Linked DNA regions of Oreochromis niloticus. The protein of the gene in region 1 interacts with the protein of each later gene in a pairwise test. Links are inferred from orthologs where the notes say so. Each region holds a gene or a part of one and is shown in the gene's direction. Other genes may lie near its edges.

Region 1 (7,756 bases):
ATATCTTTTTCGGTCATAAACTGCTCATAATATTTCTGTTATTTTCTGAATATCATAAAGACCTTTATACAGACCAAGTATCCTCCACCTCCATGATTCCAGTGTAGGTTGAATTTCGAGTTGGCATATTACTGTCCAAAAGGGACAGTTTCACACTGAGTTATCAAACCTACAGAGACATGTCATGTGTAAACGTTATTTCCCCATTCACAGAAACTGAATGAGCGGAGGTTGTTATTTTTAAAAAAAAGGTCAAATTAAAAGGAATAAGATACGTCAAGGCATCGGCGTAACTTTCTGCTGAACATTGGGGTGGGGGTCAAGATCTCTGTCTAAATAAATAAATCTGGGTAAATTCCCAGATGATTAAACATGCAACTATTTTGCTGGTAATAACTGAAATGAGTAAAGAAAATTAACAGCCTATTTATGCAAGATAATTCATAATTTTATTGGGGGGGTTATATTGGTTGAGTCTGATTATTGGGGGGGTCATAACCCCCTAACCCCCCTGGAAATTACGCCCCTGCGTCAAGGAAAAAGGCTTCACTCACAAAATTAACTTGTTTTCTTTGATCACTAATTCCCTGTAATTATTTATGTTTTGCTTAAAGATATTTTTTTCACAGTCCTCTCTCACATTACTGCAGCTGGTACTGCACTGGTACTATTTTTTTAGCTGATCAAAAGCTTAAATCAATGTGACCATTTACAGTAAGTTTAAATAATTTCAGTTGATGTTGGGTGTGGCTTTTTAATCTAGTTTTGTGTACATTCAAGCAGCGGTTTGACATCTTCTGTGCACTTTTTTCTTTAAAAAGGGAGGAGTGAAAACGGAAATGATCTGATGTGTTGGTGCTCGAAATGAGGCTCCTTCCTTGGCTGATGTAAGGGAGAGGTCTTACTGTGGTTTTGTGGTACTTAAAAAAAAGGTAATGTGAGTGCCTTGCATTATGAAGTTTATAGCTTCTGATTTAGTTACTCAAAAATAAAAAGTACTCACATTTTTCAGTAATGCAAAAAAAAAAGAAGGTTCACTTCTCGTTTCCTTGTTGGTGACGTCAACAATATAATCTCTAGACTGAGGTTTGACAAGTGACAAGTATTTTACTGAAGAAGGAAGACACTTGAGAGGGTGTTGTCATTTTCCGGAGAGCACATTTTGTGTAGATATTAATGAACTGTTAACCCTGGCTCTAAACTTCATTATCTTGCATGAAATTATAATGTTTCCATTCAAGGTTTGTCATATGAAGCAGATATGGCGTGAATTTTGACTTGTTTTTAGAATAATCATGGTATGCTGTTCCAATCAATGTCATTTTTGAGAAAAGACAAATAGTTTTAGTTGGAATAGTTGCATGGATTTATATTTGCTGTGTAAAGTGTTTGTTTTTTACTACGTAAAAAATAACTTTCTAATTGCACCCCACCTTCTACAAAAACACAAAATCATTATTTTTTTTTACATACACTACATTTTTATGTATGCTAAATATTTGCTTGAAAGGTTAAAACCCATTTACAACTGCTCTGAATAACACTGATCCTGCTTTTGTAATTTAATGTTTTGTTGGGAAAGCCTATGTTAAAGTACCATCCTAAACTTTGTGACATAATATTATTATTAATAGCAGGCAGGTGCTTTCCTCTGTGGTATAAGCCAGACTCATAGAAGCCACACCCTACAACTCATGGGTCTCAAAGGATTTGATACCAACATCCAGATGTTCAGCGGCAGGACAGCCTCAGGGGTTGACAGGTCAAAGAATCTTCGGTGGCTTTAACTAGATGTGCCCACTTCCAGACTAGTGGTTTTAATGAGTGTGGTTAAAATGTATATCTGGACACTTAATGCTGTAAATCATCTACCACATAAACCACAATGCCAGACATTATAGAAAATTAAAAATGAGAACATTGTAGAACAAACTGAACTATTTAGATGTAAAAATCTGGAGAACTTGAGCCTTGAAAAAGTAAAACTCTTAACTCATTGATGTTACTGGCTAAGCTATGTCAGATTAACATGACTGTTAGTGTCTTTGTTTCACTTTTGTAGATCTGTATTTTTTTCTTAGCATTGCTAAAGAAAAAACAAAACACAAATCTCATAGTTAACTCTATTTTTTCATTAAAAAAGTCAAAGAATAAGCCAGGATTAAGATAGTCTAAGCATCATGATTTGATATTTTGCGCAACATATAATCTAAAAGATCGTAATACTTGAAGTTTTATCTTTACTAACTTGTTGTGAGACTGTTGAAAGAATGGTGAAACATTTCCTTTCCGGTCCTGTGGCCTCCGGCATGTAAATGCATTGCTCAACTTCCCATTTCAGCCTGCTGTTGTGCATGCATTTATCAAGCAGTTTCTGGTTTGAATTTTTCTAACCAAACCATGAAGAATTTGGCAACTTGTTGACAGGATTGTCATTGTTTTTATCACTAAAGTGAAAATTTAAGTAACTGATGATATTTGTGCAAATTTGACTGGACAAAATGACAGACCATTAGACTCTGACTGAGGGTGTAACGATCTTTCTAACGTTCAGCTCTTTCTTCTCACTTGACAAATAGCTTTAGATACACCTAGAGAGTGTAAGAAATGAAGTAAAGTACATATTGGAGTCTATATTAGAGCAAAGTAAATTTCCAAAGAGTGAAAGATCAGTCACTTTCAAACTTGGGTTATTACCTTAACAATGTAACAATGTAAAATGAAAGCTGATTTGATATGTGTTTTTGTGATCCTCTTAATCATACTTACTTGCACAATCGCCCTTACATCTACAAACCAAAACTTTGTGCAAAATCTGCATGATTTCATATGGAGTAAGGGTGCACGGCGTGTCATGCTCTCACTCACCAGAACCATGTTGAAGCGCTCCTCCAGCTCCTTCTCTGGTGGCATGGGAAGTTTGGGTTGAGGAGGCTGCTTTTTTTGCAAGGTTGGTGCAGAGTCATTCATTGCTGAAGCTGCACTGACTGAGTTTCTGGCCTCTCGGCCTTCGGCCGGTTCATGCTCCAATCCCCCACCAGCCGCATTCCCCATCACTAATCTCCACAAGTAATCCAGGGGGACTGCTTTACGCAAACTGTTTCCTCCAGGAAATCAGCGTATCCAAAAGCAAAGTGACAAAAGATGGTCACTCTGAATTACAACAGCAAAAAGGCCCTAATCAAATCAAGTCTAGGGCCTCTAGGGCAATCTACATTAATTCTCAGGTTTACAAAATCCGCCTCACACCCGAGGACAGGGTGGGCAATGAAAAAAGAAAGTTTGTCCTCATGGCCCCCTTCTCCTTAAGTTGTCTTCAAGTTCCTTTTGAAAATGAGGTGATAAGTCCTGTTAGAGCCTGTTAGAACTCGAAAAAAAGGTCCGCCTATGCCTCATGCACTGTTGTCTACATTAGTTGACCGAGAACTCTCTGAAATAGTTCAGTACCGAAGCCTGCGTGTGAGAGGAAGGCAGATGAGGAGTGTGACACAGTCAGAAACCACAGAAGCACAAAAGCAGAAGAGTAACTTCCTGTGCATGACAGCTATAGAACCTGGGGCGGAGGACATGGTGGAAGATAAACATGGTAACCGTTACACGTAACCATGCAGTAGGTGGATGATGATAAAGAAAAGATACTACAGGAATGAAGGAGAGCAGACTCCAGATTTGATGTAAGATTAACAGATGTCGATGTAGATGTAAATCAACTACACAATTAAAGGGAACTTTGCAACATTTCACAAAGAAACCACCTTTTTGTACTAGATTTAGTCATTTTACTGATGTCAGCTTGCCATGAGTCAACGGTTACATTTGTTTTGGTGTTTTCCCTTCATGTGGTGGTTTAATCCAGACAGGTAAAGGTGGTTTCAGCATGACAAGAATTGTCAAACAACACCCCTATGTGGATAAAGATGACTACTGCATCTAGTGAGATCTATCCAGTGGGAATGTTAAGATAGTTATGTTTCTGAAAACTAACTTGTTACCATTCGTTGGCTCAGTAATTTACGAAGCCTGTGTGTATACAAATGATTTCTATTGAGGAAAAGAATAATAAGTTTATCACAGATGCATTTCTTTGAGAAAGTGAAAATTATTAGCTCCGATGCAACAGGATATTCATTTTCAAAGCTTTCTGAGACTCACTGGAAGGCAACAGTGTTATCAGCTGAGTAAAATGAAAAGATCAAGATAAAGATTCCTTTACTGCTGCCAAAAGAGAAGATTGGAGATGTGTTTAGACATCAGGAAAATGCTGGGAAAAAATCATCAAAACGATAAAGCTAATCATTTCCTTACAGGTGTAACAGTGGAGACGCAAGTAGCAGAGGTATTGAAGTAAAGTGAGTTTAAATACTTGGAGTTTTTCTTGTAAAGCAACAGTAGGTACACAAGATAGCTGAAGAAGAGAATGCATGCAGGATGGAGAGGATTGAGACGAGTGTCAAGGGTAATTTGTTACAGGAAGATAGCCGCAAGAATGAGATGATGTATGGTTAGGAAATGCTATCACTAAAAAAAGAGATACGCAGACCTGGAGGTGGCAGAGTTGAAGATTTTCACTGGCCATGATGAGCAAGATTCAAGAGCAGCTGAAAGAAAGCAGATTTATTTAAGTGTTTAAGAGACAAAGAACTGATAAAAAAAATAATTTTAGTTTTTCTCTCATACTATGTACGCCTTCTGTTTATTTTTTCTTTTCTTTTTAATACAGTCTTTCTGTGACATAAAACCTACATTTTATGCGGTCAGTTACTGCAGTAATCCTTCCAAACCATGGGGTGGCGTTTATCATGAACAGATACAATTTACTACCGTGGTGCACAGAAGAAGAAATCCGTCGCATTCCAAAATGACGGACCCGACAACATCTCCAGAGGACCAGTGGAAAGTGAGTAACTGCTATCAGAAACCTCTATTTCGGGTTCAGATGACTCATGTGTATGGCAGCACTGGCAAATGACAAAAGCTGTGTTGTCTTAAAGTTGAAGCTTTAGTAAAGTGCAGGGGGTACACGGTTTGTTAGCTTCGTGGCTAACTAACGTTAGCTTCCGAGGTTTTGATAATGTTAGAAAGCTGTATTGGTTAGCTAGCCAATTGCCTACTTATGTAAACAAAGCAGCCATTGTTCCCCCTATGGTGTATACAGTAAGTCTTCATCTACACACGCAAAAAGGTAAAAAAGAAAAAAGGTCAGAGTAGCTGCTTGTTTCTTGCAAATCTATAAGTGCAGCATCAGTGTTTGTGAAGCTCACATTACCTTGTCTGTTTTACACTATATATAATTAATTAGCACACCACAGAAATTGAAATGGTCTTCGTTCCACAGACTCCTTAATAAAGACGTTTAGCCAAATAAAACAAAGAAAATAATTAATAATAATTAACATATGTTCAGGGCCCCCATTAAAAAAAAAAATGTCTCTAAAATAAATAGGGAATAGTAATTTTACAGTACGTAAGTAAACGTGTAGTAGGATCTGTTGTTCAAACTTAACATATATTCATTTTTTCCCCTCCTGAGCTTTTGAGACTTTGGAAACCACAAATTAGACAGCTGTGCCCTACATCAAACAATAGCTCTGTGATGAAGGCTCTTATTTTCTGCAGCTTTTTACCCACCTGTTTTCCTGAACTGGACAAATCAGGGCAATGCTCAGTGGGGGCTTAACTGGCTGGCTATTGGTCTTTTGTCAAACAAATGTAGGGCAGCACAGCGTTTTCCCTTGTTATTAGCTTTACAGCCTCTTATTTTTTGCCTTTTTCTATCTTCTGCTCTCTCGTGATGGCTCGGCAGACCGATGGTGCTTTCAGTGATGGTGGCTTTGACAACAGTGAGTATTCAGTCAGTTCTTGTGTTGTACTTCATCACCAGTGTAATCTGATCTCCCACATGATACCGATTATAGATGTATATCAAAATATATTTTGATTTTGTTGTGGATTATGTTTGATCACTGCTGTCTTGCTGTCTAGGTTATATTTCTGAAGCAATCAGAAAGGGCACTATTGTGTCCCGGGCCAACAGTATCGGCTCAACAAGTGCCTCTTCGGTGCCAAATACAGGTACTGGGTTTGAATGTTGTATATTTATGTGATAGTTAGCTACTAGTAATGTAATTGTAGTGTAGGTTAATTGTTTACTTGTTTGGTTGTTGTAGCCTGAGCCAGTCAGATATTTTTAAGAAAAAAGTTTTTGTTTATTTAGTGTAAAAGCGAAATACAGGAAATAGAGACAGCTTTGCTTATATTTCTCCATGATTTGTATAAAAGGAAAAATCTCTCTTGCTTGTGATTAATAAAAAATATATATTAACCTTAGCTCAAGGCTCGCAAAATTTCAAAATCTCTGGTGGCCCTTCGGGCAGGCCCTCTTCAGTTTTTGGTAGCCCAAAATAAATTTAAGTAGCCCGAATAAAAAAGAGAGCAATTTTTTAATGTTTTGTTTCCTTTACAATACTATACATTAAAGTATAATATTGTAACGGAAACAAAAATTAATCAGAAAGTTGTTAAAATACAAATCACAACAACTGTATAAAAATCACAGTCATCAACTCAAATACTTGGTTCTAATTGAACAGAAATTTCTATGAACTTGTAAGAACTGTGTAGAACATGAATCAGTCTGTGTCAGATCCTGAATCTGAAATTTCCACTGAAGTCACGGGTAAGGGGTGAGTGGAACCAAGATCTAGGCCATTTGCTTTTTGAAGTTTGCAAAGACTGCTAAATTTTGACAATGGTAGTTCACTCTTTGCAACATAGTACGCTTTTGAAAGATTTTTCAGGACTTCTGCTTGTGCTTGGTTTATTTTTAGTATGTTTTTTGCAATTGCTGTTTGTTCTGGGAAAGATATTGCAGACTGAGCAATAATGCATTCTCATGGGTTCTGATGGGGTCTTTCTTAAAATTACTGGTCCCAGTTATAAAGGCGCTTGTCGACTCAAATGAAATGAAACTCACAACACACCTGGCAGAACATCATGTTATTTAGCTCGTCATATTCCAGCCACAGAAATTATTTTGTCCATGAAACCAAAAAAGCTGAGCTTTCTTTTTGCCTCCTAGTCTGATTTGTCATAACGTTTCCGTTTTGTGGTAGGCTTTTATTTGGCTGCCCCTTCTTCACCCTGACCTGTCTTATTTGGCTCAGCAGAACTAAAATACCGGCGTAAGTCCTGCTGCTTTTACACACGTACTTGCATAACGGTCAGCGATTCTCTGCGCAATCAACCTCTCACATGTTTAAACTTGCTGTGGGAGATTTCACTTGTCACGTTTGAATAGTAAGCTAATGAGTGATAAGACGATGTCAGAGGAATTGGTGCGCAATCGTCACTCACCAATCAGTGCTGCCGCTCTCTATACACCGTTCGCGCGATCGCAAAGTGAAAGTGAAAGCAAAAAACAAGCACAAATTCAAACGCGATTTCAATATGTCACATATTGGCAGTGGCTCATCGATGCCGATGACATAATTACTCAGCTACATTTTCGAAAGAATGCAAAAGCATTGACACATATTTTCCCTTCCTATGATAGCCCGACGGGCAGGGCTGAGATAGATTTTGGTAGCCCGACTGGAAAAATCGCTAGCCCCGGGACGTCGAGCTAGCGATTTTGCGAGCCCTGCAGCTCTATAGCTTTTATTTTTATTTATTCCAGAAGTTAGAAAATTCATGTGTTACAGTAACAAAACATTAAACATGGCCCTTAAATATGTCTTAAAAAAAAATACAGTTTGAA
Region 2 (7,324 bases), on another chromosome or scaffold:
GCAACACAAATTGCTTCTTTCACTCTGATTAGGTGTGATAACCCATCCTGCAGCCATCACTGTGCTCCTTTTGCAGGTCTCCCCGACGTCATCGATCCTCCTCCCTCTCTCCTTCGAGACAAAAGGAGAGACGAGATGATGAGCGCAAAGACTCAAAGGAAAAGACGGCAAAGCCCATTCAGATCTCAGGTATCAGACATTATCTATACACTCGCACATTAAGCAGGAATCTTAGTTTTTCAGACAGTTTGTAGTAGCAGAGACTAAATTCAATGTTTTTTGTTTTTTAAATAGCGGAGGACATGCAGGGCAAAACGGAGGAGGAGATTGAGATGATGAAGCTTATGGGATTTGGTTCCTTTGATACCAGCAAGGTGAGAGTTGTTCTATGTGTTATGCAGCCACAAGGGGGTGCAGTTTATTTCTAATAAAGTTCACAACACACACACACACACACACACATTATGTTTGCATTTATTTCAGTGGATTGAAATGGAACTTCCAAAAGCACATTGGCACTGATGAAATCTATTAGAGCAGCTGCTGTATAAAGCAGGTTGCTCTTGTTTAAATAAAGGGGACATTTTTCACGTTTTTCCCTTGACTCTTTCTATTTAGGGGAATACTGTTGTTTTTGAGTTATGGTTCTTTTTTTTCACCCCCGCTTATCTGTTAACCCTTTTAAACCGCACGGGAGCGTGCACGCTCCAATTTGCGTAACTATTTTTAAATCCCTATTATATTTTCGTTTTTGCTGCAGGTTGTAAAAATGAGTGTATTTCAAAAATGAAATTATAAAGACACTCAAAATAAATTTCCTGTGGCTGGGAACTATTTTGTGGAACTTTGCATTTACAGTTTTGAGGGATATACCTCTGAAGTTTCTGTAAATAGAAAAAAGTTTAAAAAACAATTTTCAATTTCTTTTTTTAGTTTATTGCACATTTTTGGTATTTATGTAGTTACTATGGACATATTGCATATGTATGATTTAAATTTAGGATAAAAGGATCTTATTGATGTATAACAAGTGGAAATGCTCCAAAAAATGGCACTACAGCATGTAAAAATGTAAAGATAAGCTCAGGCAGACTTGGTTCTATGGTGGGCTTAAAACGGTTAAATATTGACATAATTGACATATACTGACATGTTTGTACATGAATGTAGAGCAGCTTTCACATGACAGCAAGCCCTCCATGGCTAATGTAAGTTTGCAATACTGTGCAAGAGTTTTGAGCCACTCTCATTTATTTTGCTTCCATAACGAGCAGTGTTGGGTCCACACATAACAGACAGTTTGGCAAAGAAACAGTTTAAAATCCTATCTTTAGAGACTTTTGTTGCTAATAGCCTGTCACAGTATGTAAAAGTTATATCCTTTTGAAGTAGGAACAAATCCAGCAAAGACCTGGCACAGGGAAGCATCTGGCCCTTCAGGTGGTCATCTACTGTTCACTGAAGCCTCATCAAAAATAGTGTCAGTGGAAAGGTGAAGCTACTCTTAAGGAAGAATAAAAGGGAGAAAAGGCTGAAGTGTTCCAAATTACACAAGAACTGAACTGAAAATCGGTGGTAACAAGTCTTAGACATGATAAATCAAAATGTGAGTTTTTTGGTTCAGATTTTCTTAATATGTATGCAGGAGGTCAAGACAGAGGTACAACACTGAGTGTCTGCAGCAGTCTAAAACAGACGGTGAAGACTCTGTCATGGTTTGGGGCTGCACTTCAAGCAGTGCTGTTCAGTATGAACACAGAAAAGTACCATCATTTTAATCAACCATGCAATAACATCTGGAAAGCATCTGACTGGCAAGGGTTTTATTGTTCAGCATGACCCAGTCACACTGCCAAAGCAGTAAAAGCACACCTGGTTAGCCGAGCTTCAACATTATTGAAGCAACGTGGGATCATCTTGACAGAAAATAGAATAACAGGCACATTAAAAGAGCTTCGAATCTCCCTCAAGGAGCCTGGCGAACTATTCCAGAACACTACTTAAAGACAAAAAAAAGTCATACCAAATATTGACTCTCAGCTTGTTAGAATTATACTGCATTTTCATCTATGTTTACACAATTCAGTAAGTCACAGCACTGTAGCTGTCTAAGATTCTGAATGAAAAGTTGAGATTATAATCTTAAATTATGGCTAGCTGTTGAAATTGTTAGCTATAAGAATAGATTAACATTCTAAATGCTATGAAACCTGTCTATTATGAAAATGATCAAAAGTGGGGAAAATAAATGGATAGACTTAAAGTAATCACTAAACAAAGAATAGCAGTTACAAGAAGTGGACGAATAGTTGCAATTATAAACTAATAGTTATGGTTGTGCACACTGTTTATCCAATAAGAGTTGGTAAACTTAATCTAATCACAAAGAGCAAACAGTGGGTTGAAAAGGGTCACTTCAAAAATCAGTCCCATTGAACACTAGCAGTGTTATTGTTGATAAAGAGGTTCCTCTGACAGGCCACTGGGTTTGTCCTATTAACAAAACAAAACAGTTTTCCGTTGATCAAAATCCTTCAGTTCTGTGAAATGCATATTTAGAGAATTCCAACTGCTATCATGAGCTTGACCCAATTCAGCTTCACCTGTTCACTGTCATGTTTAGCTAAGAATGTTTTTTTTTGTATTTTTTTTTAAGTTTGCTTTGTAATATGTCATGCAGTAACATTATTTTTACACAGGGGAAGAAGACCGATGGCTCAAGTAACGCGTATGCCGTCAATGTGACCATGAAGAGAAAATACAGGTAGGTCATCGAACACAAAACAAGCGTTTGTAGTTGATCAGCTGTGCCGTCGGTACAGTGCAGCACATCTCTTTGGATATTTCATAAGCTTTCCTTTTGTTAGTGACGGATCCTTTTTAAAGTTACTTTTGGAGCCCCAGCTGTTACTCATGTTGCTGAATTACGTCAATTTTTCTGCCCCCTCTTCACAGTGTGCACTCTCAGCATCTATCACTGTTAAAGTAGCCAATCACCTCCGCAGGTGTTTCTATGCAGAGATGCCAGCGCTCCCATTGGTGCTCGATGATGTAATCTGTGTGTGTTGGGAGGGAAACAGTGATATAATGTTTTCTTATATATTTATTTTACAGGCAGTACATGAACAGAAAAGGTGGATTTAACAGGCCGCTGGACTTCATTGCTTGAAAGTATCTCAACTCCAATGTTCCCCAAGAAGTTTACCTGTGTGTACCCTCCCTTCCCTCTACCCTTATGAATAGATGGCATGTTCAGTATCCTATGTGGTTTGTGTGATTTAACAGTCGTGTATATACCTTTTTATAAACGAATGCATACATGTAAATAGTAGTACCTGCAAGATGTACTCACAACTGGGTGAGACTGAGCTTAATATTGTTGACATGGATGATTTATTTGAAATAAAAGCATTTAAAAAACATGCTTTCTGTCCTGATTATGAAAATGCATTTATTAAAATGCCTATGCACTAATTAAATATCCATCCACCAGGTTGTGCAGGAACACTCTTTCTTTTGAAATAATGGCTAAATATGACATTATTCATTGTCCCTTTTAAGGATTGAATAGGATCAGATTGGTTATTCCTGTGAATGCTTGCGTTTCTTTCTAGTTTAAATATAGCATAATCTCATTTGGTGTTCTCTGAGAAATGTATCCTATAGGATTGTTTCAAATCCAGGTTTAAATTCAGACCTAACTAAAGGCTGCTAAGAAACCTTTCCTGGGGTGGTATATGTTCAAGTCCAGGGTTTATCGTGCTCTAAAATAATGATCCCTCTCATTTTGAAGCAAGCTTTTAAATGTTTCATACTAGATTGGATCAGCTTTGCTGTCTGACAGAACCGACCCACCAAAATAACCAATCCCCGTACTTGTCCTTAACCCAACCACCAATCATAAGCGAGCATCCCTCCGGCAGATCCAATCTAGCGCCGAGCCTTTTAAAGCCATTATGGATCAGAAAGCAACAAGCGGACGCATGCGCGCAGATATTTTGTGACGGAGAAGAAGGAGACCAATGATAAGAGGTCATGTGAATTCGACCAATCATGTATCGCAAAATTTATTAAATGACACAACGGGAGCCAATCGCTGCCATACACCGAGAAACAGCATGGCAGAGAGGCGTGTTGATTGTCAAAAGCGGGCGTTGTCAGATAAGCTCGTGCGCACTAGGGCCAATAGCTGTCAAGTTTATAGAAAAAAACAACCAATTACTGTGTACAAGTGTATAGCGCAGAAACTGTCTCCATTGTGGCTGTACATGGTGTATTTCAGCCAATGTTAATTAGAACCAAAATGGCTGCTTAAGGTCCACAGTTGAAGTAAGCGCTGAACCCTCTTCTGCAATTGACGGTTTTAACGCCGAATAGGAGCTTGAGAGGTTATACTCAGTATCCAATCACACTGCAGCACCCAGAATCTTTGTACAATACAGTAGAGAGCTGGTGTCCAGATCAACAAGCCACTATTTTGGAAGCTGTTTGACAAACAGTCACTGTTCTTCAGTTGATGTCAGTCGCTATCGGCGTTTCCAGCAAGACGTATCGCGCGTTAAACCGGCGCAAAACTAACCAGCCACAGCTCTAAACCGAAAAGGTTGGATGACATCGTCGGCTGAACTTTATATCAGATAGCTCTTTTTTTATATAAATAAATTTCACAAGGCAAGTGTCTAGCAACTGTAGATGCTAACGTTCTTTTTTCACTGGCCGAAGCTTTTCCAAATACAACACAGATAGCAAGAACTTTCCATATTTAATTTGACAGCTTGACATTGGCGCTAACGTTAGCCAGCCTTTTTTTTTTTCGCCAAATAGAGCAATTCGCGGATTATTTTTGTATGTTACACAGCCTTTCGTTTTGTTTGTATCAACAAGCCGTCTTTTCTCGAAGAGCCACCTATAAAGCTGACGATATTTAGCTGACATTTTGACTTAAAGGGGAACAAAGTAACCTTAGCTCCTGAAGAAGTGTTATTAGTGTCAGCCCTCACTAGCCAGCTAACACCATATCCTTAATTTAACAACCACGGAGGAAGTTTGGCTTTTCGAACTGACTGGTGCTGCATTCAAGGCCTTTAACTTTTAAATATCCAGATTGACAGTGAAGGAGCAACTCTGTAACGCTCTCTCTGGCTCTTTAAAAATAATAACTGACAGAACAGCGAGCTCCCTAAGTGTGAAAAAGAAGCAGGAGCCTGAAGCAGTCTGTGTACAGCCACGGAATTCCTTTTCGGATTGTTAAATTATCAGTGTTATTGTTTAAAATGGCGGCGATCGGAATGGTGCAGATGTTGATCGAAGCAGCCGAGTACCTTGATCGCAGGGAACGAGGTAAAGTATCATTGTATTCTTTTCTACTCTCTTTTCTTATTCACCCTGTGCAATATAACATTAACACCCCTCCCCCTCCGAATCACTCGGATTTATGCACACGTCGTTTGATGCTTTCCCAAATCCTGTTGCTTCCTATTAATACTCTTATTACATCAAACAATCAGGCCATGAAATAAATTCATAAATGTCGAATTTCACGCATCGATTCAGCAGGGTGCATCACCTGCCCCAAACAGGTGCTAATAAATATGTGATTACAGGCGCATAATGCATACGTGTAAAGACAAACGGGCATTTGCATTGGCGATATTGAAAGAATGAATGCATATGTGGCAGATGTGCAGGGAGACATTGTTTTCGTGGGCGCCCCTCCTTTCCTTCTGTTGTGGTTTGCTAGTGGGGTTTATTCTAGTTCATGATGACATCATTGTCCATCCCGAGGAAGGGGGAAAAGGCTAAAAGATACTACTTGAGACCCATTCCCTGCATGCCTGCTAAAAAGCATTAGCCATTGCTGCGGGATGCCAAAAACTAAAGCTGAAATGTGGCACGTTGTGCAGTCTGTACTTCTGTTCACTGTGGCTATATTTTGCATTGCAGGATTTCAGGACATGTGACCACTATGTTGTTTACTTGCTTGCAGAAGCTGAACATGGCTATGCCTCAATGCCGCCGTTCATCAGCAGCCGGGAGAGGGAAAGTTTGAAAAGGAAAAGCAAAAGCAAGAAAAACACAAGTAGCAGGTAAAGGCAAAACTGTACATGCCTGATTGTTTTCCTGCTCTGCGACAAGTCGCCCATCACATCCCCACTTCAGGGGTCTCCCCCCACCTCCCCCCTCCCCTCCTCTTCCCGTCCTCACTTCTTGAAGGATTAAGCCATTCTTCATCACACTGGTGTTTGTGTTTCAAGTCAAAATCCTTATTTGGTGCTTGTGATGTGAGGCTTGTTTTTTAATTTTGTAATTTTTTTTAATGCATTTTCGTACTGTGCTTCCAGGTGGACACGCTAACTGCCCAAATTTAAAATGGTAGGAAGTGCAGTGAGGTCAGAGATAGCAGCCTGGTCCCTATTTGCATAATTTGTTACATTCACAGCAACGCTGTTGAAACAGCGACTTTGTGCTCTTGGCCAAACATGGTCACAATCAAACATCCAAAGCTTTGAATAGGGTTATGACTGCGAGACGCTACCTTGTTGTTTTGACATCAAATAGTGACCAGGTCAGACATACTGTTACAAACACCCATCTAATTGCAAAGAAAAGACAGACAGACTAGGCCAATTTTATAATCAAAATAACATGTTAATGCCTCTTAAGTAATATATCTGCAAAAAATATGACATGATTCCTGTCTCATCATGTTTCTCGCTGATGAGAGCTTATTAGAAGCCTTCGGTTTGTTACAGAGCATAAGTCAGCTCTCTGATCTTCCACTGTAAGCTATTGATACGGTTAGCTTCTGATCACCATATCTGCATTTTGGACATTTCTTTTCACTTTAAGATATTATGTTAAATGAAGAATAGAACATAAGATTATGAATAAATCTATTATCTTTTTATCACTGACTGCTGCAGTGAGAGCACAGCTGATGTCAGCTAATGTTTTAACTCTCAGCATTACCGCCTGCCTGTTGCGTTTTTGGTTTTTTCAATCAACACAAAATCCCACTTTGATGTTATAATAGTTTTTTTTCACGTATGTGTTTTACATGTTCAGTTTTTAGTATACCTAATATAGTGAAAACATCAGCATTTATTTTCTTATTTTTTGAGAGAACAATACTACCTGTAGTCATTTTACTAATGGACAGTGTTCTTATTATTAAAGTTCAGTCATTGGTAACCAGGTGGCCCTTACTGCCTCATGTTAGTTTACCAGCTAGCTTTCAAGTTATGTTGCAGTTTTAGTGATCCTTGAGATCATGCTTCCCCAGAGAGGATCTCTCCCAGGGTTGGACAGACTCCAATTCCACCGT

The links. The genes of interacting proteins can lie anywhere in the genome.
Region 2: the proteins of mlx (region 1) and mxd1 interact in a two-hybrid assay, tested with the Homo sapiens proteins (2 studies listed by BioGRID and IntAct). The link is inferred for Oreochromis niloticus from reciprocal best matches to the Homo sapiens genes MLX and MXD1.

Annotation. Positions count from the first base shown.
Region 1 is NC_031969.2:25,992,366-26,000,121, forward strand, and holds the start of mlx (max-like protein X), read left to right. Parts: upstream 1-4,755; 5' UTR 4,756-4,858; coding exon 4,859-4,897; intron 4,898-5,803; coding exon 5,804-5,840; intron 5,841-5,982; coding exon 5,983-6,072; intron 6,073-7,756. UniProt on the Homo sapiens protein: Transcription regulator. Forms a sequence-specific DNA-binding protein complex with MAD1, MAD4, MNT, WBSCR14 and MLXIP which recognizes the core sequence 5'-CACGTG-3'. The TCFL4-MAD1, TCFL4-MAD4, TCFL4-WBSCR14 complexes are transcriptional repressors.
Region 2 is NC_031977.2:7,021,225-7,028,548, reverse strand, and holds the start of mxd1 (max dimerization protein 1), read left to right. Parts: upstream 1-4,320; 5' UTR 4,321-5,273; coding exon 5,274-5,340; intron 5,341-5,986; coding exon 5,987-6,086; intron 6,087-7,324. Other genes in the region: snrnp27 (U4/U6.U5 small nuclear ribonucleoprotein 27 kDa protein), read left to right, coding at 77-189, 295-374, 2,700-2,764, 3,115-3,169. UniProt on the Homo sapiens protein: Component of a transcriptional repressor complex together with MAX. In complex with MAX binds to the core DNA sequence 5'-CAC[GA]TG-3'. Antagonizes MYC transcriptional activity by competing with MYC for MAX binding.